Danio rerio: one gene and its partners. The protein of the gene in region 2 binds, or shares a complex with, the protein of the main gene of each other region. Links are inferred from orthologs where the notes say so. Each region holds a gene or a part of one and is shown on either strand. Other genes may lie near its edges. The genes, in order: tada2a, tada3l, mbip, taf4a, yeats2, taf12 and dr1.

What was found.
Region 1: tada3l (region 2) and tada2a share a complex: the UniProt entries of both Homo sapiens proteins name them as parts of the ADA2A-containing complex. The link is inferred for Danio rerio from reciprocal best matches to the Homo sapiens genes TADA3 and TADA2A.
Region 3: tada3l (region 2) and mbip share a complex: the UniProt entries of both Homo sapiens proteins name them as parts of the ADA2A-containing complex. The link is inferred for Danio rerio from reciprocal best matches to the Homo sapiens genes TADA3 and MBIP.
Region 4: tada3l (region 2) and taf4a share a complex: the UniProt entries of both Homo sapiens proteins name them as parts of the TFTC-HAT complex. The link is inferred for Danio rerio from reciprocal best matches to the Homo sapiens genes TADA3 and TAF4.
Region 5: tada3l (region 2) and yeats2 share a complex: the UniProt entries of both Homo sapiens proteins name them as parts of the ADA2A-containing complex. The link is inferred for Danio rerio from reciprocal best matches to the Homo sapiens genes TADA3 and YEATS2.
Region 6: tada3l (region 2) and taf12 share a complex: the UniProt entries of both Homo sapiens proteins name them as parts of the STAGA transcription coactivator-HAT complex. The link is inferred for Danio rerio from reciprocal best matches to the Homo sapiens genes TADA3 and TAF12.
Region 7: tada3l (region 2) and dr1 share a complex: the UniProt entries of both Homo sapiens proteins name them as parts of the ADA2A-containing complex. The link is inferred for Danio rerio from reciprocal best matches to the Homo sapiens genes TADA3 and DR1.

Annotation. Positions count from the first base shown.
Region 1 is NC_133190.1:18,215,299-18,219,869, reverse strand, and holds the start of tada2a (transcriptional adapter 2-alpha), read right to left. Parts: upstream 3,170-4,571; 5' UTR 2,931-3,169; coding exon 2,906-2,930; intron 555-2,905; coding exon 448-554; intron 356-447; coding exon 296-355; intron 1-295. UniProt on the Homo sapiens protein: Component of the ATAC complex, a complex with histone acetyltransferase activity on histones H3 and H4. Required for the function of some acidic activation domains, which activate transcription from a distant site. Binds double-stranded DNA.
Region 2 is NC_133186.1:18,274,425-18,279,118, reverse strand, and holds the start of tada3l (transcriptional adapter 3), read right to left. Parts: upstream 2,974-4,694; 5' UTR 2,907-2,973; exon of another isoform or gene 2,818-2,906; intron 2,477-2,817; 5' UTR 2,453-2,476; coding exon 2,243-2,452; intron 1-2,242. Other genes in the region: arpc4l (actin related protein 2/3 complex, subunit 4, like), read left to right, coding at 3,675-3,677. UniProt on the Homo sapiens protein: Functions as a component of the PCAF complex. The PCAF complex is capable of efficiently acetylating histones in a nucleosomal context. The PCAF complex could be considered as the human version of the yeast SAGA complex.
Region 3 is NC_133192.1:40,162,951-40,167,395, forward strand, and holds the start of mbip (MAP3K12-binding inhibitory protein 1), read left to right. Parts: upstream 1-1,266; 5' UTR 1,267-1,278; coding exon 1,279-1,431; intron 1,432-1,938; coding exon 1,939-2,055; intron 2,056-3,462; coding exon 3,463-3,675; intron 3,676-4,445. UniProt on the Homo sapiens protein: Inhibits the MAP3K12 activity to induce the activation of the JNK/SAPK pathway. Component of the ATAC complex, a complex with histone acetyltransferase activity on histones H3 and H4.
Region 4 is NC_133186.1:23,068,265-23,072,205, forward strand, and holds part of taf4a (transcription initiation factor TFIID subunit 4), read right to left. Parts: intron 2,445-3,941; coding exon 2,355-2,444; intron 1,308-2,354; coding exon 1,128-1,307; intron 1-1,127. UniProt on the Homo sapiens protein: The TFIID basal transcription factor complex plays a major role in the initiation of RNA polymerase II (Pol II)-dependent transcription.
Region 5 is NC_133177.1:47,842,243-47,846,183, forward strand, and holds part of yeats2 (YEATS domain-containing protein 2), read left to right. Parts: intron 1-451; coding exon 452-690; intron 691-774; coding exon 775-849; intron 850-2,851; coding exon 2,852-2,925; intron 2,926-3,546; coding exon 3,547-3,624; intron 3,625-3,941. UniProt on the Homo sapiens protein: Chromatin reader component of the ATAC complex, a complex with histone acetyltransferase activity on histones H3 and H4. YEATS2 specifically recognizes and binds histone H3 crotonylated at 'Lys-27' (H3K27cr).
Region 6 is NC_133191.1:38,665,822-38,669,919, forward strand, and holds the end of taf12 (transcription initiation factor TFIID subunit 12), read right to left. Parts: intron 3,465-4,098; coding exon 3,350-3,464; intron 1,839-3,349; coding exon 1,750-1,838; intron 1,671-1,749; coding exon 1,635-1,670; 3' UTR 865-1,634; downstream 1-864. UniProt on the Homo sapiens protein: The TFIID basal transcription factor complex plays a major role in the initiation of RNA polymerase II (Pol II)-dependent transcription.
Region 7 is NC_133181.1:26,454,362-26,458,940, forward strand, and holds the start of dr1 (protein Dr1), read right to left. Parts: upstream 2,855-4,579; 5' UTR 2,350-2,854; coding exon 2,130-2,349; intron 1-2,129. UniProt on the Homo sapiens protein: The association of the DR1/DRAP1 heterodimer with TBP results in a functional repression of both activated and basal transcription of class II genes.

The DNA of each region.
Region 1 (4,571 bases), on a different chromosome or scaffold from region 2:
GTTATTACCTGTTTATTAGCACTTATAATACTATTATCTTATTTTACATCCCTAATCCTACCCAATAACTACGGTAAACCCAATTACTACCATATAATACCACTTATATATATATATATATATATATATATATATATATATATATATATATATATATATATATATACTTATATAAATATAAAACTATAACTATAAAATTAACTACAACAAAAAACAAACCAACAAAAAACAGTTGCCATTGAAATACCTTTTATTCCAATATCTTATGTATTAAGTGTTGTAATCTATACTTTACCATGATTTCATATTTGTGGTCACTCTGGTGCTTTTTATACTCATATCCTCTAGTGAAACACTGCAACAGAAAGATGAAAACATAAAGTGAGTATTTCATGATCAGTGACAGTGTATGATTGATGCATTCAGACAGCAGTGGAAGGAAAGCACCTGCAGACACAGGAGAAATGGGGACGGTCCACATTCAGCACACTTGATGTATGGCTCCACCAGATATGACGAACATCCACGACAGGGAGGCTTATCGAAAGGATCATCTGAAGACCAAAAAATTTAGAAACAGAATGAAGGTATCAGCAAATCAACCCTCAAGAAATTCCGTTTCTCTGGATTTACTGGATATTTTAGCTATGGGTTTGAGTAATAATGTTTAGTTCATGAACAAAAATTTAGTCATTTAGAGCCTTTTTGGATGTTTTCTGAAAAAAAAAAAAAAACAATTCCAATAAAATAAATATTAACATTTATTTTATAAATAAAATAAATATTAACATTTATTTTACTTAAAATTTTACCTAAACAAATCCAATATTTTCAAAGTAATAAAGTTTAGTATAAAATATCCAAATATTTTAATTTGTTGTGATTAAAAAAAATCTGGGATATGACACCAAATAATACTTTTTTTTAAAAAATTCTTCTGAATTCAAAAATTCAAATGGTATTGTGCTGTCAGAAAAAGAGAAAATATAAGCATGTCTAAAAATAAATTTTATTGTAACACAATACAATACATACTGTACAACACATGTACAGTATGTGTTTAAGTAAAAATAATAATTTCTGTGAAATAAAGAAATTCTGTTCTATACATCACAAAAAATAGTGTGATTTAGAGCTACTGTATCTAGTCACAAAATTACAAAATAATAATTTAATATTCTTTATGAATAAATGAAACAAATAATAACATTAAAAGACACAAACAGTACCTAATCAAACCAGAACGTTCAAGAAGTCCAGTTTTTACAAAAGTGTACAATATATTTTCAAATATGACACTTGATTTATTGTTTGTTGCTTAGAATAAATGTTTAATATTTCTTGTGTTTATAAAATATTCTACAAATGTGAAAGAAAACCATTATTTTATTTTTAAAGCATTTATTTTATTTAGCTAATCTTGAATGTATGTCAAAACATATTACTATGTTATAAAGCTGATACTTATTAAAAAAACTATGAATTATAACGAAAAGTGAAAAATATAACCCACCAAAATCAAATGTAGTATTTTATTACAAATATCTGTTATTATTACGTTATTAGATAATTAGTTTTTAATGAATATATATATATATATATATATATATATATATATATATATATATATATATATATATATATATATATATATATATAGTTTATAAGGAAATAAGAGTATATTTAAGAAAAACATTAATTTGTGAATAGCCATGGGACAATAACAGGTTTCAAAGTACAACGCAGTTTGGAAAAGTCAATGATTTAAAACCGCCAAAGTTTTCTGTTATACCGTTCCTACGGTGTTTGTACGGTTTTTATTTACGTGTTTTTTTTTTGTTTGTTTTTTTTAGGACAACAGTATCTCCAGAAGAAAAACATTTGCGAAGATGTCTTTTCAAGTTGTAAAGAAATCAGTGTTTTGAAACTAATGAAAACAGCAGAAGTCAATGATTCATTTCAATAATTTAGGACACGTTTACTTTTCCAAAATATTTTAAATGTTTCTCAAAATAAACTATATTGTGTTCAAACTAGGTGGAAAAGTTTTAGTTGTTCACCCAGACATTTAAAAACTTATTTTAGAGCACTAATAATACTGTGAAACTGTGATAATTTTATCCAAAGTTCTCATACCGTCAGAATCTTATACCGACCTATGCCTATTTGTGAAGCATAAAGTATACAGTAAGGGGGTCTTAAAACTATTTCTGGTTAATACAACATTCACCTGAGGTATGATTACAGTTAATGCACTGCAGCTACTGCATTTTACTTTATAGTTTCTACCATTAATATAATTTGTTTTACCATTTATGAATTACAACACCATGGTACAGCATCATATATTCCACTTAAAAGCATTGTGAATTATTTACTACATTCATTAAACTCACAATATAAATAGTTATAAAATGTTTTAAATACAATAAATAAATTTACAAATTAAATATTTGTATAAAAAATAAACATTAAAAAACTCATATGCTACATTTTATTTCATATATATACTTTAAATTATTGTTATTTATTTATATAAAAAAATATATATACACATTTTTTTAAAGAAATCATGACTTTATACTTTAATGCACTGATTTGTTTTATATAAGTTATATGTATTACAAATCGGGGGCAGCATGGTACAGTTTAAGATGCCGTACTGCAATATGCATTATGTTAAGCGTTATTAATAAGTGTATTATCATAACATGATGTACTCCAGAGAAATTCAAATATTGTCATGGCACAAAATACAACGTACGTCGTAAATGGCTCTTACAGAGTCATTTTAGCTGACATCCGTTTACTATGGTACATTTCTGTATCAAATACCAGAGCTATTTAGTTTTCATATTTAGGCTGTTTCCCCAAGAGTACTAGATTTACTAAACAAGAAACTTACTTCCAAATGACGCCAGTCTATCCATGTTGTAAATGAATGATGGGATCTGGAAAATGTAAAACCTTCCTCCTCCTCTTCCACTCGTTTGGAAAAAAATTGAGATCTTTCTGTGATTTGTGCTGAATTAAACTGGGCGGTTGTACCGATTATGCCTCGTCGTTAAAAAGCAAAGAATAAAAACATAATCTTATGCTCTGTTTAACACATTATTGAGAATGTAAACACAGTGCTTCTGCTCGATCTGTGCAGCTCAGTGAACAACATTAGGAGGGGAAGTGACGTTCTTCCACAGCGCCCCTCAGCGGCACCTGCGCGATACATACATACATGAATATGTGACAGACTCGCGAGCTCAGCCTTTCTACAGTGAGGTCAAGATCTCTCAAGTGACTTTTAATAATCATCTACAGTATAACTGATAGCCTACTTTACACTGGACACTTGAGGAATATCAGACCAGATATTTCGTTTTCATCACTTTCCCACCTGTAAATCATCGTAAGTATTTTTTTACGGATTCATTTCTCATAGTTTTATAAGAGGCGTTCAACTCATAGATATTTATAATTGATATCTATTATATAATGTCGATGGTTCAGCTTCAGGATGATCCTGTTTTTATACATTATTTAGTATTAATAGATTACTATGAAAGTTAGAATTATTATTATGATTATTATTATTATTAGGTTATTACATTGATATATAAATTACATAATTATAATTTTTACTTTTACTTTCCTTTGGCCTTTTCCTTGCTTTAGCGTGGTTACCACAGCGAAATGAACCGTCAATATCTTAATTTTATGAAATTTCATTTTTCCTTTTGTTAATGTTGGTTATTGTATTTACTAACATGAGCAAATGAGGAAATGCTAATGAACAACAGATTTATTACAGTACTTGTTCCTCTTTTTTAACGTTTGTTAATGACAATAAAGTTGTTCATTGTTAGTCAACGTAACTCACAGTGCACTGACTAATATTAACAAGCACAACTTTAGATTTTAATAATGTTGAACTCGGTCGAGGCAGTGACGCAGTAGGTAGTGCTGTCGCCTCACAGCAAGAAGGTCGCTGGGTCGAACAGTTGGCGTTTCTGTGTGGAGTTTGCATGTTCTCCATGTCTTAGCGTGGGTTTCCTTCGGGTGCTCCGGATTCCCCCACAGTCCAAAGACATGCGGTACAGATGAATTGGGTAAGCTAAATTGTCCGTAGTGTATGAGTGTGTGTGTGTGAATGTGTGTGTGGATGTTTCCCAGAAATGGGTTGCAGATGGAAGGGCATCCGCTGCGTAAAAACTTGCTGGATAAGTTGGCAGTTCATTCCGCTGTGGCGACCCCGGATTAATAAAGGGACTAAGCCGACAAGAAAATGAATGAATGAATAATGTTGAACTCAAAAAATGCCATACAGATTTGATAATGCTTAGTTCATGTTAGTAAATGCATTAACAAACATTAACTAACAGACCATTATTTTGAAGTATCACCCTGATATTTTTAGTTATGCACACTTTTATGTATTGTCCATTTAGCTTTTTAAATTAATTGAATTTAGGAAAAGATAACATTTACTCTGTCTCTTAACCTCTGAAAAAAAAAACACTGTATTTAAGTCCATTTATTCTTGTTGTTATTATAAATTGTGAAAAAATCATCCAACC
Region 2 (4,694 bases):
GCGTTTCTGTGTGGAGTTTGCATGTTCTCCCTGCGTTCGTGTGGGTTTCTTCCAGATGCTCCGGTTATCCCCCCCAGTCCAAAGACATGCAGTACAGGTGAATTGGGTAGGCTAAATTGTCCGTAGTGTATGAGTGTGTAGGGCTGATCTTAGTCACGATTATTTAGTTCATAATTGTAATCACGATTATTCAAAACGATTATCAGTTGAAGTCAAAATTTCACAAATGATGTTTAACAGAGCAAGGAATTTTAACAGTGTTTTCTAAAATATTTTTTTCCTCTAGGCTCATTTGTTTTATTTTAGCTAGAATAAATGCAGGTTTAAATATTTTGAAACCCATTTTAAGGTCAATATTATTAGCTCCCTTAAGCAAGCTATTTTTTGATTCTCTGCAGAAGAAACTACTGTTATACAATGACTTGCCTAATTACCCCATCTAAGCCTTTGAATCACACTTTAATCTGAATGCTTGTATTTTGAAAAATATCTAGAAAAATATTATGTACTGTTGTCATAGCAAAGATAAAAGAAATCAGTTAATAGAAATGAGATAACAAAACTATTACGTTCAGAAATAAGTAAAAACAACTTCTTTCCATTAAACAGAAATTGGGTAGGAAAAGGGATGCTAATAGGAGGGCTAATAATTCTGACTTGAACTACATATATACAGTTATTTTCCACCCTGTAAAGGAAAAAGAAATAAATACAATAGAATAGAAATATGAAACAAACTGTGTGTGCCGCACACACACATAAGCAGGTGGTCTTTCGCGCTTTTAAGAGCAACACATGTGTACAGCTGGAAAGATGGTGGTATATGATGCAATAATCATTTATCTAGATTTATGCTTTTTCATAATCGTTTGAAGCCAAAATCAAAACCGAAATCGGATTTTAAATGAGTTGGCTACCTGTAGATGTTGCTCGTGCACAGCCACCGATCCTATTGTATTTTATTTAAATCCACTTATTTTAAATATTCAGCGTAGCCTGCCATGGGCTAGGTCTAGAAAAAAAAATAATAATAATATATATATATAAATATATATATATATATATATATATATATATATATATATATATATATATATATATATATATATATATATATATATTTTTTTATAATAATAATAAATGATTATTAAAAAACTAAACAATAAAAACAGTAAGTGAACAATATTAAATATTATTATTATTGTTGTTGTTATTTAGGCCTTCAGTAGCACGGAAACAATCATGCAAACCAGGTGCTGCTCGTAAATGGCTGTCTTTGCTCAGCATCAGGTGCACAGCAGCAAGACGTTTGGTAGGAGAACTAAAGGCATATATTATTATTATTATTATTATTATTATTATTATTATTATTATTAATATTATTATTATTAACATTATTAATATTATCATCATTATTATTATATAGGCCTTGTTAGGAAATAATCATGCAAACTAGGTGCTGTTTGGAAATGGCTATCTTTGCTCAGCATCAGTTGCGCTGCTGCAGGACGTTTGTCAGCGAACTATGGCCTTATTTTAACGACAAATGTCTAAAAATACTGCTAATTTATGTTTTTTTTTTAATTTAGGCATACGCAAAGAATGTTGGCCTGCTAACAGATCAAATGACAGAATATGTAAACTTAGTTTATATATATGATTAAATAACAATAATTAAAAGTCTGGCTGCTGATCCACAGAGTGCTCTTATTTTGAGGGCGACGTTACGAGCTCAGATTTGGTTGACCAATCAGAGGAAAAAGGGCGTTTCAGCACCACCTACATGTGTATAAAGAATTTTGAAGTCGTTAATCCATTTTTCTACCGTAAATTAAAAAAATAAAAATCAAGTCAAAATGTCATTTTTTCGCAAATGAAAAAAAAAAGTCTTTTTCTTTTCTTTTCTTTTCTTCAGTATCCTTTTTTGTTTGAAAACGGATATGAATTGGACGGAAGATACTGATTCTGATTATACACACACCCAATTTATATATTGTGCAGCCCTAATTCAATCACAGGAAAAAAATCACTACATTCTACATTACAAAACACCTGTTTTACAATAAAACATTCTCACAAATTGTATTTCTTCTTCCATTTTATTTTTAAAAAAATAAATAAATAAATGCAGCTTTGATGAGAAGTAGAGACTTCTGTCAAAATCATTGAAAAGTCCCACTGATTCCAAACTAGTGTACGCACAAGATGTGAAAAAGACAAGTGTAAAAACAGCAGTTTTCACCTGTCTCTGTTCCTCCAGTGCTCGGAGACGTCGGCTCGCAGAGGACAAGAGTGTTTCCAGCTCCAGCTGAAGCGTGTCGAGCTCTTCAATGCCAATGCCATCATCCTCTGAGCGGCTGAGCACTGCAGTGTAGCGTGGACACACTTTCACATGGTCCACAGGTTTGAAGTCATAGTACTTTAATGGGGGGCAATCCTTCAGTTCACTCATCTCTGCATTTACAGAAATCTATATCTGTAATGAAATAATAAACAAAGTGAGGGTTAAAAAAAGTATATTCTAATTGTCTTTTTAGTGTTATTAATGAGCAGCACAAATTGTAAATGGTTTTGATCTAGTGGTAACGTTACTAGTGGACAGCTACAGAAAAACAAAACAGAGATGTGTTGTTATTTATACTGTTTGGTGTGTAACAAATCTAATCCTACATGTATTGAATTTTTCACTCTATTATGTAATAGTGATTGCCATATAAGATGATAAATGATATAACGAGCAGCCAATGTAGGCTAACGGCTACAAGCTAATTTAGCTCCATGCTGTTCAAAGCACAGGCAGCCGGTTATAGCATTTACCAGCATATTTGCGTATAGCTTTCAATGAAAAGACTTGTGCTGACAATTAAACTATATGATTAAATACGAAATAGGACGATAAACTCAACTCCTATACTGCATTAATTGATTCATAAAATAGCATTGTTTACCTCCGATGAAGGGGCAACCATTACTGACTAGACCATTATGCCAGTAGGGGGGATACAGCTCGTTGATTACATTTTAAAAACATGAATGTATATCATAAGAGCTTCAATTTGGCCGTTGCACGTTTTCTTAAAATATTGTATAGTTAAATTATTATTCGACATTCGACAAATACCGCTTCCTGTCAGTTGACATTCACAACGCAACACCGCAGTTCATTGAATGGTACATTCGATACCAAAGCGCGTCTGAATGGAAATAAATTGTATTTATTTTCAAAAAAATAATCAACTGTTCAAAGCCACAAAAGAGCTAATGTTTATTTCGGAACATTAATATTTATAGATTACACCCTGTTTGATAAACGTACAATTTATTTGACCTGTCGAGTAATTTGCCATATAAGGAAGAAAAAACGAATCTAGGAAAAACTGCTGCTGGGCTTTACCGTAATTAAACAAAAAGATTTTTCAACATTACTGTTATGTTGTTTTAGTAGCTGTATTATTTTCTTACATTATAATAGTGACAACTTTAGTTTGCATTAACATATGTTTTGTAATTTGACATCCACTCGTGTAAATTTAAACCACGCGCTTGTGAGAATTAAGCTGAATTGCTCTTTCAATAGATAAATTACGGGAGTGTGAGGACGCAATGGAGGCGTGATTCCTCATCTCCAGGCGTGGCGTGCGGACTTCCGTCTTCCTCCACAGACCTCATATAAAATGGTAAGAGATTTTCGATTCTCGAAAGTTGCAAATATTGTTTTTGATTATAGCCCAACCAATTAAATAACCCATGAAAAAGCTTTTCGGTAAAGCATTTTGCATAGAGAAACAGCTTTGATTTCTGGCTTATTTGATCGAGTGTTCTGTCCTGATTTATGCTAGCTAGCTAACGTCAGGGATTTTGCATCCTCTTTAACAGAATCAAAATAATAAATGGATTCGATTAAATACTATTTATGCTACATAAATGTTTTGTTTGATGTGGTATTTGATATGATTGTTGAAATGTATTTATAAGAATAGTTATTGACAACCTGAATTACTATCAGAAGCTCATTGTAATGACAAGCACACAACTGCTCTTCCACTCACTGACAGTCACGTTTTTGTGTATTTACTACGAGTATACGTTCATGAATAATAATAATATGGAGACAACTGTATACAACCATGTCATGTAAATTATTATAGCTCTGTATGATTAAGTATACCTGTACCTCTGTGATGAAGTCATGTTTCCTACGTTTTCATATACACTGAAGTCTTTTTATTGAACAGTAAATTTGTTTTTTTGAGCAAAACATAAAACGATAGTTCACCTCAGAAATGTACTCACTAATTATTCCCTCTGAAGTGGTTATAAACCTTTATGATTTACGTTATTATGTTAAACACTACAGATTATATTTTAAAGAAATATTAAGGAAGTCAGTGGTTACATTTCCAATATATTTCAAAATATCTTATTTTGCATTTTAGGAATATAGGTCAAACAGGTTTGGAACAAGTGAAGAATGAGTAAATGATTACATATTTTTCATTTCGGGGTGAACTATTCCTTTAAGGATGTAAATCTCTCTTAGTAATGATGTCAACTATAAATTTTGGTTTTGGTCATCATTAATTAAAATCTAACAAGTTGCTTCTGCTGTGGAATGTTGGTGCTTTTCTGATGATGTCAGTTTGACAGCTTGGGTGGAATGTGCTTAGCCACACCCCTCCGTTACCCCACCCCCT
Region 3 (4,445 bases), on a different chromosome or scaffold from region 2:
TCATTGGGAATTTTAGTATTATAAAGTACTATAAACTTTTCTAACTGGTGAATGACATGATCTAGTGGGTCTCTGTCATCTTTAATGTGCGTGTTTGTGATAACAGGAGGCGTGGTTTTGGCCAGCAGTGGAGAGATTGAATTTAAAAAATATTATGCTAGCCGGTTATCATTTAGGCTGATCCCCTAATGCACATTTAATATACACTGCCTGAATTAATGTCCACAAACCAGGATTGAGGAGTCTTTTATATTATTGTACTGACATGCTGTTGTGGTGATAAAGACGGCATAATCTCTGTAATTCATTACAAACATGCACTGTTTTAAAAACTTTTTAAACTTGTAAAACTCACTCTCGATCACATTTGATGATGACTGATGATCACAGAAAGCTGAACAGATCTTTTAATCCCAGTTGCTTTGCACACTTTGTGCCTTGTTGATATGATTATGCGTATTACTACTAATACATGTTAGTACGCGGCTGTCAATCAATTCGGTGGACAGGGAAACCGCCCTCCTATGTCACGATGCGGTGGGCCTCAAAATAGGAGGGATTTAAATCCTATTTTAACATTAAGAAATTTTTTAAAAAGAGACCTATTGTCTTTATATCACCTTAATATGACTGTGGACACACACTATACCTATACACAGTTCTGTCCAAACAGATTAGAAAATATTATTTTCATCATAGGTGCCCTTTAAAATTATATTTTATGCAGATATGCTCCACTACACAATAACTCAATTTTAGCAAGCTATTCATCTGGTGAAATTGCATTTATATCGCAATATATATCACAGTGAATGAAAATATTGCAATGTCAGTTTTTTCCAATATCATTTAGGCATACATTTTTTATTTACAGGCCTTTACCTTTAACGTTACACAACCTTTTGAACCCTATTTGTTTGTCTGGGTGTGTGTATTTTTAAATAGCTTTTTAAAGAATGACATGAAATGATCAGGTAAATGCATTACCCTTGGCATATACATAAAAACCCGTTTCATTTTAGTCATATTGATAAATTGTAATGTTAAATGCGATTTAAAAACACAAAAGGGTGAAACAGAAGATTGTTTTGTGACGGACAAAATAATAAACATTAAACACGGTCAATGTCAATATTTAAACTATCGAAATAAAGTAATTTACCTTCGTTTATATTTGCAGTAGTCAATTTTAAATGCTCGTTATTTTGCTAGCGGAAGTGAGGTCATGTTATGCAGGAGACCGTTGGTCCAATCAGCGCAGCAGCCGGGAGCGGAAGAATGATGGCGGCGGACGGCGAAAGACGCGGTGCGTGTGCTGCAAGTAAACAAGAGCAAAGCAGAAGCCAGATTTCACTTCATGCAAGACAAAGGGATGCTTTCAGAGACTGCGTTGCCTCTATTGTCGACTCCCTCGCTGAGCTTGGAGTAAAGGTTTGTTTAAAAGCAAATTCTGCCACGGTGTCACTGTTTGGGATAGAGCTCTTAACAGTCATATTTGTAACGTTATTTCATTTGAGATGCCAAAAGCTAAATATGTAACGTTAAATTATGGAACTTTTCCGAAGTAACAAGATCACCCATGTCGTAAAATTATATGATTTGTCCGCGCTAATATGATTTGTTTCAATCACTTAGATAATTTGTCTGTACTTGTCTGCAATAAGTTGTAATATGCAATATTTCCACTGTCACTGCTGAAATAATCAGCCTGTCCTGGAGTTTTTATAATGGTCTCATATGTTTCTTTTCTGGATTTTTATTCAATTTTTAGCTGGTTTTACTCCCTGCCTCCCCAGCTGACAAGTGCCTAAAATCTTACTACTCATTTAACAAACCATATTGACCAGCGAAATAAACCACCTAGTCTGTTTTAGGCATCTTTTCTGCATTGACAATTTAGAAACCACAACAACAACAAAAAACTGTCTTATTTTCCAGTTAAAAATAGATGATAACGCATTGAAAATCAGTGCCAATGTCAACAATGTGAACATCTGTGAGCTTCAGCCATCTCATGTGCACTCCTGTTTACAACAGCACATCTCCAAACTACAGGTAAACAGAGTCATGTGCATTATAACATTTACTAACACACATAGCTGATTTTTTAAGTATAAAGATATCTTCTGAACCTTTAAATAGATCTTGTAAGTGAATTTTGTTTGCCATTTATTTGTTTACTTATCTGTAATGAACCTTATCCAGAGAATTGGTGAACATTTGTTTCCACAATGGAATAAAAAATTAAACCCATTATGTCACAATTGTAATTCAGAGAATATCATCAGTATTGCCAGAAGGAAACATGATATATTATTGGTGGAAAAGTCAGAATTTTATAATGCTATTTAATATTTTATCTTGCATTTTGACTTTTTATGTTAGAATAGGGACTTTATTGCCCACAAATCTTCATTTGTATCTCACATTTTTGATAAAACGTTTAAATTACAAGATATAAATTATTATAAACGAAGTCAAAACCATTTGAAACCCTGAGATGCAGAGTAACAATACTGAAAATAGTCAGAATTACGAGATAATGTTCATCATTTTCAGTTGCAAGTATCAAATCACAATGCGTTGAAGAAAAGTCACAGTTATCCTTACTTATTTGTTTTTTCTTTGGTGGAAACAAGCTTTTGCTGCAATGTTTTTATTTTATGAAATTAAGGCTTTGAGGGATAGAAAGTAAGTGCACTCTTTTAGTTGATCATTAAAATATATAAAATACATAGTACTGACTCATGTTTATTTATAATTAATCACATCCAAATTCAAAGCTTGTGTGTGTGTGTGTGTGTGTGTGTTTGTGTGTATGCATGTATGTATGTAAGTGTGTGTGTGTGTTTGTGTTCGCGTGTGTGTGTGTGTGTGTGTGTGTGTGTGTGTGTATATATATATATATATATATATATATATATATATATATATATATATATATATATAAATATATATATATATAAATATGCTATTTATTAAATTTTTTTGAGAAAATGTTTATTTACATTTACATATAAAATATATATAATATTTTTTATTGTAAAATTAAGTTTTATGTATATGTGTGTTTTAAATATGCATACTACACACACACATATATATTATGTTACAACGTATTTATATTTTGGTCACGGTTTACTACGATTAATCGTTGCCCTGCACTATTAAATTCATATTATGCAAGTGGAATAATGTTGTTTCCTGAATAATGTTCTTAAAATGTAAATATGTTCAGTGTTTTTTGCAAAACAAAAACTGACAGGGCAAAATGAATCCTTTGTCCTTCAAGATGGTTCTCTGATTAGCTTATCAGCGTTTTTTTTTTTTTTAAATGTATATGACCAGCATTACTGCACATTATCTTCTGACTCCTTGCTAAGACACAGTTTATCATTATAAAGACACTGTAAGACTGTCTTTTACCACATTGTTTTTTTTTTATTAACCTTCTGCTTCTAGTCGGTCTCTGAGAGTTTGAAGCAGATAGTGGAGTCTGAGGCAAATAACTGTACAAGTTCCAACCCAGACATCGGTGAAAGGAAAGAAACTGCACATACATCTGAGCAGATGTTTACTGATGATCCTCTTACATCTGACCACTGTGCTGCCCTTGAGGATCGAAACAGGACTCAAATCGATGATAACGTGCAGATCAAGGCTGCTAAATCAGAGGTAAATTTATCACTTCAAAATGTAGGCATATTTTACACAAATCACAGTTGTATTTATTGGAATATTTAAACAAGTAAGTGATCATATGAATATTTACAAATTGGGGTAAAACGTAGTGGTTTTGAAGGATAGTTGCAAAATATAAAGATTAAAAATGACAATTAATGACAATTTTTTATTATTATTATTATTATTATTTTTTTTTGGAGCATCCGTTATGTAGTGTTTTTATATGTCATCAAATGATTCCTATTCGAAATATGTTTGGCACCGATGACGTAGTGGTTAGTGCATCAACAAATGCACTCACGGCGGTGATCACGGCGACCTGAGTTCGATTTCCACCTTGAGGTCCAATGCCGACCCTTCCTCTTTCTCTCTGCTCCCCATGCTTTCTTGGTAATAGTCTCTACTGTCCTGTTTGTTGATAGTAAAAACTCTGAAAAAATTATTATTAAAAAAAGAAATATGTCTGGCAAAGTTGTTTTGATACATAAACCATTGTTTCAGTGAATTAAATTTTAGTGTGCATCTTCTAAAAATCTTAATAAAATGTGCTTTACATTATTTTAATAACGCATTTTAATTAAGAAAAATATTACCCTTTTATTTTCTAATCAAATCAAATCTAACCAAATAATTTTGTCATAATATTATAAAACATATATATATATATATATATATATATATATATATATATATATATATATATATATATATATATATATATATATATATATATATATTTTTTTTTTTTTTTTTTAATATAT
Region 4 (3,941 bases), about 4.8 Mb from region 2:
TACATAAAACCAAATGTGCTGGCACACAATTTCAAATGAAATAATTAAAACAAAAAAAATTACAAACAATTTAAGTATAAAATAAATTGAAATTCATATAGCATTTAATATAAACAATATTTATTCTAAATGTCGAGCCATTAATTAAATGTTAGAATTTATCTTAAATATTTATTATTATTTTATCATACACACACACACACACACACACACACACATTGCTTCCCACAGGTTTAAAATAAACTGTACTTGGGGTGGTAGCTGGATTGAAACACATCTTTTACCCACATCACATAAATGGTCAACCATAGGAATTGTATACGACAAACAAAAAAACTATGTCATTTTAACTATATTTTTGTTTATTATGACAGTTATACAGTTATATTTTCGTGCAGGAAAAAGTCTTATTTGTTTTATTTCGGCTAGAATAAAAGCAGTTTTTAATTTCTTAAAAAACATTTTTGGGACAAAATTATTAGCCCCTTTAAGCTATTTTTTTTTCCGATAGTGTACAGAACAAACCATCATTATACAAAAAGTGTTTCAGATTATACTTTCTTGAATACTGGTCATTTTTATAGGTTCTATGGTCCATAAACACACAAACCATAGACAAATAAAATCTATTCAGCGAAATCTTTTGAATGGTTCATTAAAAAGAACCAGCACTTAAAAGTCGTCTTATGTACAAAAAACCCCCCACAGTTTTATACCCTGTTTTCAATCATCAATATTGTGCACCAATAAAATGCATACACTATATTCTTTAGAATTAACTGACAGCACAGAGCGACTTTCAGCATGAAACTATGCACAAATAAAATCAGCGAAGAGTAAGACTAAACACTTGCTTTAGCAGTAATGTACTGTTAGCCTTAAAGCTGCACTCAGCAATATTTGAAAAACCATTCTGACCACACTGTTGCTCCCAATCCAGCCAATCAGAATTAATGAGTGTGTCTAATAACTAAATCAGAGATTTCAAAAAGTGACAAGGTTTGTATTCATGTAGGTTTGTTTCAACATCAAATATCATCAACATCAATTGTAAAAACAAAATTATCAGTGCAAACCAGCGGTGTCATTGTGCCTGCAGTAAATGAGGCATGTGGAAGAGTGTTTACCAGAGAGGCAGTCTGACTGGAGTTGCTGAGGGCTGGCTGGGTGAGTGTACGAGGGGCTGCGGTGGTGCCTCCAGCAGTGTTGGGACTGGTCAACACCACAGTGGGTGAGTGGAGGGCCTGGCTCTGCTGGATGAAGGCCGTAGAGTCTGGAGTGAGCTGTCGCAGAGCTGGAAGACTCCTCTGTGGAAAGAGAACAATCATTATGGGCAACAAATAGGGCTGTGTGACATTGACAAAAAAAATCTTAATAAGATTCTGATAACAACAATTAAATAATATTCTGAATAAATAAATATAGGCATGAAACTGCCAAAGTGGCAGAAAGCACCGTTCTTTTTTATGAATGATTGACTCAAACACTGAAGTGATCCTCTGAGACAAACAAATGTTCTACTCGCGGCTTTGTTAGAAATCATTTTCATTAATAAAACAGGTAATAATCTAAATATATTGTGTCTCTCTCAATTATGCATCTGACGTGACTCTCTCAATATTAACGTCCTATTTGTTGAACTGTAAAAATCAATTATCACATTTACAATTGTGCCATCTCCGGTAAAACTGCACACATCATTTCAATGTGCTATTACTTCATTATCATATACTGTAAATATACAGTAAGAAAAACAAAACCCTGTTATTGGATATTTTTGCTTTCAAAATATTTAGAAATTATTGGGTCATACCATCTACATTCTTATAGGATGGGGAAAGATTTTAAAATCTTAAGATGTATCTGCATGCAGCTCACACTTTCTGATCAACAATTGTATAACAATTCTGGTTTTATTAAAGTCTATAAAACCCCTAGCAACAAAACGCTCCTGTTAACCAACTTTTAGTTGGTAATAAATCATTACAGGTACAAAAATGCAAATAAAAACAAAAATCTTTTAATCAGCTACAGTCATCAGAACTAAACAAGAAACTTATAAACTAAGAAATTAATAAAAAAATAATATAAATATTACATGCTTATGTTATATAAATATTATATAAGTGGATTAAGAGCTGCTCAATCATGATCAATATGCTCTGTGTGTGTGAAATTAATCCTGGTTTGCTCCTAAATGATTTTCTACAATTACTGGACACTTAGGTTAATTAATCATTTAATAAGAGTTAATTACACTTTAAGTACCTGGGTCATGCACCTGTAAAACAACTATGTGCATAAATGGATTGAATTGTGTGTCCTTGAAGATTTAAGAACTGTAATATCTGTACCTTAAGGAAAGGCACTAGATAAGGCTGAGGAGAGGAGTTGAGCTCTTTGTAGAGCCTGCTGGTGAACTCCTCTGCTTCAATCTTCCCTTCCTGAGAAGAAAAAAACACAAATGAAAAATAAGTTCAAAACACTGGGGTCAAAATACAAGAACAAAAAACTGTTTGTTTTAACCTAAAGAGAAAACATTTAGGACTGAAAAGTGCTTACAGAAATTTGAACAAAACGCTAATTGGAAACAAAACCATTATTAAACCATTAAAATCACCACTACATACAGTTAAAGTCAGAATTATAAGCCACCTGGAATTATTAGCCTCCCTGTTAATTTTTTTACCCATTTCTGCTAACAGAGGGAAGATTTTTTTCAACACATTTCTACACATAATAGTTTTAATAACTCATTTCTAATAACTGATTTATTTTATCTTTGCCATGATGACAAAACATAATATTTCATTCATTCATTTTTTTTTTCGGCTTAGTCCCTTTATTAGTCAGGGGTCGCCACAGCAGAATGAATTGCCAACTTATCCAGCATATGTTTTACACAAGCGGATGCCCTTCCAGCTGCAACCCATCACTGGGAAACACCCATACACACTCATCCACACACATATACTACAGACAATTTAGCTCACCCAATTCACCTATAGCGCATGTCTTTGGACCAGAAGGAAACCCACACAAACACAGGGAGAACGTGCAAACTCCACACAGAAATCCAACTGACCCAGCCGAGACTCGAACCAATGACCTTCTTGCTTTGAGGTGATCATGCTACCCACTGCACCACCACATAATATTTCACTAGATATTTTTCAAGATACTAGTAGTCAGATTAAAGTGACATTTTAAGGCTTAACTAGGTTAATTAGGTTAACTGGGCAGGTTAGGGTAATTAAGCAAGTTATTGTATATTGATGGTTTGTTCTGTAGACTATCTATATAGCTTAAATGGGCTAATAATTTTGACCTTAAACTTTTATTAGCTTTAAAGTAACTTTATTTAGCTAAAATAAAACAAATACGACTTTCTCCAGAGGAAAAATATATTATCAGACATACTGTGAAAATGTTCTTGCTCTGTTAAACATAACTTGGGAAATATTTAAAAAAGAAAATAAATCAAAAGGGGAGCTAAAAATTCTTCAACTGTACATAAACATTTAAAGGGATAGTTCACCCTCCACTTCTTCCAAAACTTTTTAAGTACTGAAGAGTTCTGGAAACTTGCATCCATAGACTTTCATAGTCATCCTATCTCCTTTTATATTGTTTACAACAGTAGTTCTTATCTAAAACGTGGCAGATTAATTCTTCTTGTTATAAATATCTATTACTGTCAGCCAATTTAAACATTATAACTAGTTTGAACATTTACACTGTACTGTGATGAAAGGTAACAAATAAACAAAACATCAACGTTTAAACTAAAATGTGCTTATAAAAGTGAATTAAAATGGCACTGTTCTTAAAAAGTGAAAAGAAAGCTGCTGTACTCAAATGTAAAGTATTAACAAATAGTAACCTATTCATCAAAACCTGGAAATGTTCCTTGGACCTCATAAATATAGGCTATATGTCAT
Region 5 (3,941 bases), on a different chromosome or scaffold from region 2:
GAACTGCAGCAGATCGTCTTGACTTATCTACATGCATAAACGATTGAGTTACTGCCATGTGATTTGGCTGATTAAAAATCTGCGTTATTGAGCGGTTGGACTGGTGTACCTAATAAAGTGGCCGGTTAGTGTAAATTGTTATTATTACAATTACTAATAGTTCATACATGCACAATAAAAATCAAATAGCTATTTATATTGTTTAAATAGTTATGTTCTTAATAATTACAGTATACTTCACTGTAAGACAAATTTTATTATTAATTAGGTAATTATAATATTTAAAATATTATGCAAAAGGTCAATTCTAGTAACATGCAAAATACAGAACAGAACCAAGTCATAGTGTAGATTAAGAGAATAGTTTTTTTGTTTTATTTATTAAATTTTTTTTTCATTGTGTGCTGTGTGTGTGTGTGTGTGTGTGTGTCTTTGTTTGTGTGTGTATTAGAGTGCAGCTCGACTTTGACAGGCTGTGAAGAACTTTCTCAACGTCTAGAGCAACTTCAGAGGATCCTGAAAGCGGAGCCCGATGAGGAGGACGATGAACTGCTTGACATCATCAGTGTAAAGGAATTAGATGCCGGGAAGGTCAAAATCAAACAGGAACAGGAAGAGGCTGAACAAGAGCCCAAGTTCTACATGGGTCGCTGTCCATCGACCCAGCTCATCAGAGACACGGCGGAGCAGGTGAAAAATTATGTCTGTCTGACTGCAACCAGACTTTCTGATGGGTCTTACATGTGACGAAATGTGTGTGCTTGTGTGTGTTAGATTGGTGTGACACTCCAGCAGGTGGAGGTGGAGAAGAACGTTTTTGCTCCTGTTGTGGAGGCCATGATTCTTAAGGTAAGTAATCTGAGGTTGAGTAAGTCATATGTTTTTATTTAATTACAGAAAATTTGATTTAAAGTCATTTGAGATTCACACTATATCTGTCTTATTAATATATGTTTTAATTGCATTTAGGATTGGCTTTACTGCTGAAAAAATTAATTATTGAAAACCAGTTAGAATGCAATTGACTTTAAAGAGCTTGAACATTTAAGACAAGACACTGCAAGTGAATATGGTAAAATAATAATGATGATAATAATAGTTATTATTTATTGTTTACATTTAAGAATCATTTTATAGCAAGTTTTATTTTAAAATGCTATGTTTACAGTATATATGCCAATAAGGCAGTATTTAAAGGTGCCATATACTGCATTGGTTTAATAAGTTAAATTGTTCTCTGATTTCTACATAGTCGGTTCATGGCTTTTGCAAGTTCAAAAAATCTACAAAAGGGGTTTTATATGCTCATTTCTTACTCAGAAGGTCCATAATTGACCATATATGGTTCCTGCCATGTATATTAATGAGCCCTGCTCTGACGACCGCTTTTACAGACACACGCACACAAAGAGCATAATGTACGCTAAATAGGATAAATATAAACCTATTCAGAGAAATGTTAACCTATTTTGCTCTCCAGATCTGTTGTGGATACAGGCGTTCTGAAGTGATTTTGAACATGTCTTGTGCAGTCGTTGCCCAGTAAAGCATCGTTAACAATTTGGGGCTTGCGTTTTCAAAATAAAAGTCCCACATGCATAGTAAAAATATTAAATATAAGCTTTAAAATAGCTAAATAAGGAGGGAAACTATCATTGTTTTCTCACTAGAAAATGTTTGGCTTATCAAACATAGTTTGAGGCATTTACAGGTATATTAAAGATCTCAGAGCTACATATGAGACTCTTGATGACTTGGCTGCTTGTCAGGTTCGGACGAATGACCTTAAGTAGGCATACATGCAAATGATGAGGGCATGGCCGTGAATCTCTTTTGTGTTTTGGTTGGCCTGTTGTCAACAGGAGTTTTACACTCGTACAATTTGCATAAGAACAAGGAAACAGTGGTGTCTAAGGCTCATGGTATGCCCATTTTCACATACTAATCTCTTATTATTTGGCTATGCCTTGGTGTACCCAGATTTTTCTTTATAGGGCACCTTTAATTATTTGAAATTCTCTAATTTGCATACATTTTTAGCACAAACACATGAACATTGGATAAAGTCGTGTTTAATATTCTTGTTTAATTGTTCTTTGGCATAATGGAGTCAAAGGTCTTCACAGAGTTGATTTTTGAGTCTCCATATTTCATAAAATACAGCAAAGAGCCAGAAAAAATATATATTTTTGTAAAATAAAATGTAAAAACTTTCCACTGAAAAAAAATACAAATAAAACTGAGATTTGTTATATGTAAGTCCGGGGTGCCCAAACTCGGTTCTGAAGTGCTGGTGTCCTGCATAATTTAGCTCCAACTTCTTTTAGCACACCTGACTGAAAGTTTCTTGTATACCTGGAAAGAGCTTGATTAGCTGGTTTAGGTGTATTTAATTGGGGTAGGAACTAAAATATGCAGGTCACCGGCCCTAAAGGACTGAGTTAGGGCACCCCTGATGTAAGTGCTGCTAAGGTAGAGATTTATGGCTCAGTGCAGGAGAAAAAGCTCATTTTGAGATGTATAAACACAAATGGATTAAGCGTGACAACAGAAACACTTACAAGGGTATTTTGAATATTTTATTTAAATTAGACTGAAAAAAAAACACTTTATGAAGAGTCAAAAATAAAAAAATGTGTATGTTTTTGCCTGCAATGTATTGCGTTAAAGCAGTAAATGACTTGAATGCACCACATACTGTACTTATAAGAAAAAGAACAACACTGTTTTATTAAGTTTCAAAGAAATGATTTCTTTTTTACTTAATTTGTTTTGACCAGGATTGGACACAAACTTATAATAGATAATGCAACATGTCAAAGTTGTGAATGCTGTCTGAATGTCTCCACAGGCTGTAGAACAGTTTTCCAGTGAAATCCTCAGGGAATCGTTGGCCAATGCGCATGGGAAATCCCAACAAAACAGGTCAGTTTGTTCTTCCATATGACAATACCACATTAATCAAGACAGATGCGTAGACCGACATGACTCCGAGTTAAAGGATAACTTCCACTCTCTTCATTTTCAGGTTGAGCCGCTAGCATTATTTCTCCGTCAATTTTGATGAACTCTCGAGCAATAAAGTCTTGTCTAACGATTTTCAATCATGGCTGTGGGAGGAAGCTCTTTATGATAGTGTGTAATTATCCGAGCGCTGGGAATAGCTCATGAAAGTCCGATTTATTTGAGTTGCGGAGCTGAAGATTTCAGTCCTGGTAGAGAGAGAAAGAGGAGATTGGCTCAGTGCTGCTCCACTTACTCAGCACATCTGCTTTCATTCACATGCCCCATACACACTGTGCAGAATATTTCATCAGCCTTTTAGACAGTGTTCAGTGGCTGCTTTTTATAGAGAACCGTTTTTAAATGATCAGTCAAGCAGGACCTGATCGATGGGGCATACATTAACAGAAAGCAGCGGCCTGACAAGACTTTGAGACCTCTCATTTAATGCGCAGAGGTCAATAACCCATTATACTAAGACAGCAAATGTAGCGTGACGTTTCTTTTTGTCTTTTTCATCATCCTGTTTTCTTGTCTCCACAGAACTCCGAGAGAGATATCAGCTATGAATGTGCATCAGGCCATTTGCTCTATTCCCACCTGTGATTTTTTGACTAATAGGTAATTTTGCTCTTATTTTAGAGTTTTTTTTTTTTTTTTATATATAATCAGCGTTCCACTTTCCACATTCTACAATGGCATGAAAACATAAGAAAGTTTTAAAATTGTAAATAAAAAATAAGTAAATATAAAATAATTATTAGTACTCATGGAAATACCCCAGTAATGTTATTCTCAGGCCATATTAATTTTATTTTGCAATGTGGAAGTTTTAAAACTTCAGATTAATTTATTTTCAGGAAATGACTTGGAAAAAAAAACAGCAGTAAACGGTAAACAAACAACATTGTCGTTTTATGTGTTTATGACAATAAACA
Region 6 (4,098 bases), on a different chromosome or scaffold from region 2:
GTCAATTGTTTTTTTGTTTTTTTAAGAAAAGTTTTGTTGAATCAAAAAGTGCATGTATATAGCTATATTTTGCTTGTTTTGACATATTATCTAAAATTAATGGCTATGAAATAATTATTTATTTTTGGTGTGGTCAGAGATAAATTTGGTAAATCCTTAGTGTTGAGCCCAGAAAAGTCATGTGAAATAAAAACTAATTGCAATGCGACACTATGAAGCCATAACTTATTTGCTCATGCACATCATGAGTTCATACACAACAACAAAAAAGTGAAATGAACAAGGAGGCATGTGGACATAACAAAAAGTCTAAATCAAATAATTTTAGCATGTCAAAGTCAAATTTATGCATATAAAATATATTTTCCCACCAGCAAAAATGTGGCTAGCGAAAATGGCAAGTGGCTAGTAACGTAGGAAAATTACTAGCCACAGTAGCTGGTGATCAAAAAAGTCAACGTCAAGCCCTGAAAATACTCCTTGTATCGAGTGCAGTTGCTTTTATTTAGAACAGTTTAAGTAAGCCTTTAGGCTCGACAGTCAGGCACATTGCTGTTGGTGTCATCAATCTGGCAACCTGCCCTTGCGTATGTTTTGAACCAGGAGCGCACTACCTAATTCACCCCACTGGGTGTCAAACTTACATACTGCACCTTTAAGAGCTTATCCTGAAGATTTATTAAAGGTATACTAACTTGTAAAGGTTTGTAGAAATATATATATATATATATATATATATATATATATATATATATATATATATATATATATATATATATATATATATATATATATATATTTTATTTTATTTTTATTTTTATTTTTTTCCAGTCATTTCTGTAATAATGTCATACACAACCTGACTGACTTTGGTGTGAATAAATCACAATTAGTTTTTTTTTTTATTCATGAAAAACAGGAGACTGTAAAACACTGTGATACATGACCAAAAAAAAACTCCACAAAAAGGTTTAAACCTGCCCGCAAACCCACAGCAGAAGGGGTTTGCGCACCATCACACATATATATCCCTCTCTAAACCAATTAAGATTTGGATTATTTCACTAGTTCCAATGCAATTAATTACACAGGGAAGTGGTAATCATCTCTCTGGTTTACCTTCAAAAAGTACCACGCTAGGGATTCCTCTATAGCACTAGATATTACTTAATTGACGAATTCTAGAACAGCAAACACTATAAACAAATCAGACACATGATGATTGTAAATGTGCATAGCTTCTAATGCCAGCTCAGCAAAAGATCTATGACTGCATAAAGAGTCTATACAAGAGATATATGAAAGGAAAATGTGGATTGTGGGTAATATAATAAAACAATTTATGTTTTTAGCAGAGCTTTGAGGGATTCTATTATATAATAAAACCCCAGGATAGCACCAAGGTGCCCAAAACAAAACGTTCACGTGGTGGTTTTAACGCAAAGTGAACTGTACAGACAAATTACAATAATTTCTGTGCACCTTCCAAAACGCGAAATGTCAACAGAACTGTACTGCAAACAGTACATCGCATTTTTTTTGCCCCTTTGATTACCATGACATGTATAGGTTCAAACCCTCTCCACTTTCCAAAACTTGCAGGGAAATAAAGTTTGTTGGTGATTCCAATCTTGCTACTTTTTGGTTGTTTTGCGGATCAGTGCCATTCTCTGAAAGAACAGAAATCATATTTAGTGAAGTGATTGTTCAAAATCATCTTTAGGTGATCGGTTTTAGTGCATGGCTGACCTGTTTGTGAGCTTCTGTGGTGCAAGCCTTCTTATACGGTCGGATCTCATCTGAGCCAAAACCAGGAATCCACATGTTCCACTGTCGTTCTGGAAATTGAAAATTTAGTATACTCACTATACAAGAGGACAGTTCTTAAAAATAGACATTCAAACTATGTGGGATAATTCATTTGAATGGTATTTAAATGAGAAGAAAAACATCTAACTCAAACTATAAAACAGCCTTAAAGGGATAGTTTGCCTAAAACTGAAGCGATTTTAGCTTTCTTCAAAATATCTTATTTAGTGTAAATAGTAAATAAATTTCTATTTTTGGGTGAACTATTCCTTTAAGTTTAATTATTCAATCGGTATTAAGATAAGAGGAAAAACATGTCACTCATTAATCACTATGAAATACCCTTAAAGGGATAGTCTGCTCAAGACTGAAAATTCTGTCATCATTTATTTATTTATTCTCAAGTGGTCCCAAACATTTATGACTTTCTTGATTTTGCTGAACACAAAAAGAAATCTTTTGAAGAAAGTTGGATACCTGTAACCATTGACTTAAATTGTATTTATTTCTCTTACTATGGAAGTTAGCGATTTCAGCTTTCTTCAAAATATCTTCTTTAGTGTAAACAGTGAATAAATTTCCATTTTGGGTGAACTATCCCTTTAAGTTTAATTATTCAAACGGTATTAAAATAAGAAGAAAAACATGTCACTTATTAAACGACTATAAAATACCCTTAAAGACATAGTTTGCATAAAAAACTCTTCTCAAGTGTTCCCAAACATTTATTACTTTCTTTCTTTTGTTGAACAAAAAAGGAGATATTTTGAAGAAAGTCTGAAAACTCTAACCACTGACAATCATATTAGGCATTTCTCTTACTATGGAAGTCAATGGTTACACATGTAACCCACCAGTCCTACTGCGCCCAACCTGCTCTGAGCTGAGATCGAACTGGCGATTCTTTGTATGGGAGTTGGTTGCTCTAAAAAGGAGACCATGACCTCTAGCGTCTGTCCTTAGAGCACCTTTAGAGGTTCAGAGGAATATGGTTTACCTGCTTAGCACTTTGCTAGCTGGCCTTCGTTACACTCACCCCCTAAACCTCACTTCCATCCCGGACGAGCCCCCAAGTGTAACCCACCAGTCTTATAGCACCCAACTCGCTCTGAGCTGGGATCTAACCAGCGATTCTTTGTGTGGGAGTCGGTTGCTCTAACAAGGAGGCTAAAGACCATGACCTCTAGCGTCTGTTGATAAAGCACCTTTATAGGTCAGAAGAGTGAGGTTTACCAGCGTAGCACTTCACTAGCTGGCCTTCGTTACAGTCAGCCCCTTAAACCTCACTCCCATCCTGGACGAGCCCCCATCTGTAGCCCACCGGTCCTACTGCACCCAACCCATTGAACCAGCATAGCACTTCACTTTGCTGGCCTCTGTTTCACTGGTTTTCATCTTTTTGTTAAAATATCTCTTTTAGTGTAAATAAGGAATACATTTCCATTTTTGAGTGAATTACCCTTTTAAAAGTGTACTTATTCAAATGTATTCAAATGAAGCACTCAAGTCCATGGATAAAATGATCATTTAAGATCCTCACCAAGGTGTAGCTGGACGTCTTTTACTTCAAGAGTGCTTGACTTCCTGTGTCGGGCCAGTTGGCATGCAGCAGTCACCACGCTCTCAATGAAGTCATCAGCTATCTGCAACAGCATCTGAAACAAATGGTCAACAGACAACACTGTAGTAACAGTAATGTTAGCATATCCTTCTACTGTTCTTTTTCATTTAGGCTGTAATCGCTAATAAAAGTAATGAAATAATAACAATAATTATAAAATGTAAAAATGTCATTTATTCCTGTGATGGCATTACTCAACTAATCTTCATTTTTTTCATCCTTCAGAAATCATTCTGAATTTGTTGAGTCTGTGCTCAAGTATGTTAGTTTTATCATCTTTAATTTTTTATGCATCATTTGATAAACAAAGCAGCATTTAAAAAAACACTTATTTATTTTTTGATGTTGTTGTTGTTGTTGTAATAGTGTTATTGTTATTTGAATTTGACAAAATCAATGCATTCTTCATAAAAAATATAATGAATTATAGTACAAATATAGTAAAAAAACACACACACACACACACACACACACACACACACACACACACACACACACACACACACACACACACACACACACACACACACACACACACACACTATAATGCATTATAGTACAAATATAGTATAGTTTAAATTCTTGAACTGACAAAAACAGATATTTCAGGTCTAATATACAGTTGCAATCAGAATGATTAAACCCCCTGAATCCGGAATTATTATCAG
Region 7 (4,579 bases), on a different chromosome or scaffold from region 2:
AGACTCGTCGGCGCTAGCAAGCCGACCAATCACAGAGCTTGCGCTACGCGTCGTTACAACGTGTAGTTACAATTTTTGAGAGGTGCACGTCAGTGACGGCGACGGCCACGGCGAAGGGCTATGCGTCAGCGACGTAGCCTACGCCGGTGTTTGACTCAGAAGTAAAAATCAACACTTCCCGCCCGTCACAGCGTCTAACAAAGGGGCGGGGTGCGTGGTGACGTCACCAGCATCCCCGCCCCTTTGTTTACACGGCAGGCGGGGAATGCCAGTGACCGCTGTGTACGGATAGAATCAGCGGTCGGCGCGGGCCACAAAATATTGCACTGAGGGCCGCAAATGGCACGCGGGCCGCGAGTTTGAGACCCCTGTTTAAGGTGAATTGTTTTCTCACCACAAACCTAGGGCTTGGCGATAAAACCATATTTATTGTAATAATTTTTCCCTCTGTAAAACAACACGTTATAAATGTTTAACATAATAGTGGAATACATTAGCATATCATAACTGCATTGTTCCTTTGCACAACATAGATTGTTTATCCATTAGCACAAACAGCTGCTCGAGTTTGTTTGTATGTTCACATGCTAAAGGGTCTTGCTCATTAGGTTGGATGTTTGTCATCTTTGACAATAAAATTTAGTTTTACAATTTACTATTCTGGTTTTTGGAACTTTCTCCCAGAGGCTATAATCTGCACTTTAACTAAAGAAATAGACATTTTATTTTGATAATTATTGATACTGACTCTGATGTAAACAATTTTAGCATATTAACATGGCCATACTGCCCAGTCCTACATAAACCACCGCATCATTTATTTTCAAGCGTCTCAAGACCACTTGCAGACCAATTGAACAAGGAATAATTTACAATAGACCATTGAATTTAGGCATAGAATGATAACCATTTTCAAGGTATACCGCGGTATGAAAAAGTCAAGGTTTTAAAACCATCAAATTTTTTTGCAATACTGTTGCTAAGGTGATGTGTAAGATTGTTTATTTACATTTTTCTTGCTTTTTTTTGGACAACAGTTTGTCCAGCATAAAAGATATCCAAAGATGCTGTTTTTAACTGTAAAAAAAAAATGTGTTTTTGAAATAAGTGAAGACAGCAGAAGTCAATGATTCATTTGAATTATTTAGTCTGAAGTTTACTGTTCCAGAATATTTTAAATGTTTCATAACATAAAATATATTGTGTTCAAAAGGGATTTTTTTGTTTTGTTTTACCCCGACATTTAAAAAGAATATATTATTTTAGAGCAGTAATCACAATACCATGAAACCGTGCAATTTTTATCAAAGGTTATCATATAGTCAGAATCTTACACCAGCCCATGCGTATTTAATTATTCAAAAATAATGCACAACCAAGGTGGTGATGCGGCCACAATGCAAAGCAGATGTGCATTATTTTCTAATTTAATGAATAAACCAGAGTAAATTATTCCACTTGTACTATGGTTTCCAGACTGAAAGACGTAATTTAAGACATTTGAGAGGTTTTTTCCATTAAACAGCTCTTGTGTGTTAAACTACTAAAGTCTTGTGCATACCAACTCATTATTTGATTTGTGACACTTGCAGCTTGTGAAACCATTCAGCATAATGATATTGAACTATAATGCTGTCTGGAACTGCTTTAGCCGTTTAAATAATTGAAAACTGAAAATAATTGCACACCTTAGAATGTTCATCAGACAATCAGAATCAAAAGTAGTATATAGAGGTAAAGTTGGTTTTATATTTGGATATATTTAGACATTCTCCTTAATAATAACATTTCAGAAAAGTATTCTTTGCTAATTCTAAATAGGGAAATCATATTAGCAGCAAATGACTATTAAAGTACAACACTGTTCACACAGATAGTGTAAATGTTGTTTAGAAGTCATATTTCCATGCTAATTCCGATTGAATATTCAAGGCAGGATGGTAAACAATATAGGGACTGCTAAATGAACGAATGTGCGAATATAAAACTAACTTTACCTCTACAAGTAACGTTACTATAACTCTGAATAAACGATTCGCCTTATTACAAAAGCTTTGAATGAATTAAGTGCAGAAACGAACAATTTGTTGTTGGAATCTCACAGCATTGAACAGAAGTGACATACTGACCGTTTATAACATGTTCCGGGGATATAGTTTTCTTTTCTGATTTATTGCAGATCTCGTTGGCCTCTGATGAGACGAGGTGAATGAACTCTGTGCAGCAGTTTACCACCAGCTCTCTGGCATCGTTCGCTACCCGCACATTGGGAAGCGTTTCTTTGATCATTTTATTGATCGCCGCCCTCGGGATGGTCAGATCATCGTCGTTCCCCGAAGAAGATGCCATGAGGGATGAGCAGCCGAGACGCTTCTGTGTTTGAAGGAGTCAAACCAGGAGAGGAGGCTCAACGGCTTTGTTGATGATAAAACACCGACAGCAGCGGCGGCTTTGTGTGGAGACTCAGATGGTGCGGTCGGTTTTCTCGGAGCAGATCACGAAAGGCTGGGAATACACACACGTGAACACATTTGAAAATCCGAAGACGTCGGAAAGACTGTGAGTGTTTGGCACAAGGAAGGGAGGAGGATGAGAGTCGGTACCTTTCGGTTTGATCAGTTTACGCTGACTCTCCACATCCACACATCAGTGCTGCTGCTTTTGCTGTGCACGTTTATAATCATGATTCAACTCCAAACATTCATTCTCGAGCCGCCTGGGTAACTGAACAGATCCCGCGCTTATTAGACTAAAGCACGGGGAGGAATGTTTTAAGCACCCGAATCTATTAATTCATTACTTCACCCGCTCGGTTAGCGATCAACGAAACGAACCCCACAATGCAACACTCCCGGATATCCGGTAATTCTTCTGCTTGTTATTGTTTCGTGGTGTTGCTCGGCATTGCCGCCTACTGTACAAAAATGATGTTACAATTTATGCGCATGTTTTCTGCTAAAAAAACAAACTGGCAAAAACTTTTTTTATTGTTTCAAGCTGAACATACAAATAAAATGGAACATATTTACAATATTCCATACTGTCATCTCAAGGTTGAGTAATAAAATAGGCAAACACAATATACATCGAAAGAATAAAACGACCAGTTTTTGTTAAATGAATTGCAATAAAATAATAAAGGAGCTTAGAAAATTAAATTAGCTTATAAAAATCCCAAAAATAGATGAGGTTATGGGCTTTTTTATCATTCAACAATTTTACAGATTCGCACAAAAGTTTTACCTCATTCACTGATTAAAGGAGTAGATTTGAACCATCTGCATTTGTGAATAAAGATTTTTCCCAAGCATAATAGAACAATGACAGCAAAATGAAAATTCTTTGTTTTCAAAGATACCAAACTTAACTGTTTTTGAGGGGAGGGAAATATACAGTCCTGGGGCCTCATGTATCAACGCTGCGTATGCACAAAAACTTTGCATACGCCAGGTTTCACGCTCAGAATCGCTCACGTTTGGATTTACTAACGATGAACTGAACGTGGGAATGTGCGCGGCTCCACGCCAGCTTTATGGCTGGCGTACGCACATTTTTTGTGCGTGTCTGTTTTATTTCCATTGGCGACTCGACAGTTGTGTTAAATTGCACTCTACAAAGTGTCTTTGAGCCTTGCAATGGCAGCTGTAGGAGACGGGTTCATCTAGCAGGTATATAAGATTTCCATAACATACAGTTGACCAGCCAAACATTAAAGAGCAATTTGCAGCGGTCGCCTGTTTTCCCATTGTAGTGGGGGCGATCTACTTCACGCACATTGCTATAAAGGCACCAACTGAAGATGAATTTGCACGCATGAATCAGAAACATTTCCATTCAATAAATGTGCAAATAAAATATGATGCACATACTTATTAATGATTCCTACTTGTCTTTCTCGTGATAAATAGTAGGCAAAATCTGATATGCTGGAAAAAAAAGAAGAATGAGTTCATCAGACGCTGGATTCGAACCGAGTTCATGCTCGAACGTGTCAAAACATGCTACCTTGCGTTTTACGATCTGTGCCACTGAGACTATTAAGGGTATTACAACATTTTACACCTATAAATCACACTATTTCTCTTTTAACTCCACAGTGCGTTGTTCAGATCCAACTGTGTTAACCGCATCAGCTAAACTCTCCCCACTCTATTTTTTCTTTTGTTGTTAATTCCGGAGGACAAACTTGCAAATAACACAGTTTTCCTCCGGTCTACCTCCGAAAGCAGCACCTTCAATTCACATTCTGTTCAAAGATTCTCTTTTTTCTTGCTTTTGCCTTTGCTTTTTCGTTGGGTTTTGCCAAAGTAGAGTCATTAGCATATTCATACGAGTGAGGAGGCAGGGAGGGGTTTTGTGCTCGTGCATGTTGTGCTCAGATTCACGTTCATTCGGATGTACAAAAGAATATGCGTGGGATTCGATGTACGCAGTGTTTCATACATCTGAATTTTTTTTCTGTAAATGTGCGTACGCAATGTTTTAGTATGATTTCCACGCAAGTCTTCGTACATGAGGCCCCTGAGATAATGTAAAAGAGAGCGACGTTCGTCTGACAGGTCCATTTGTGATAGCACCC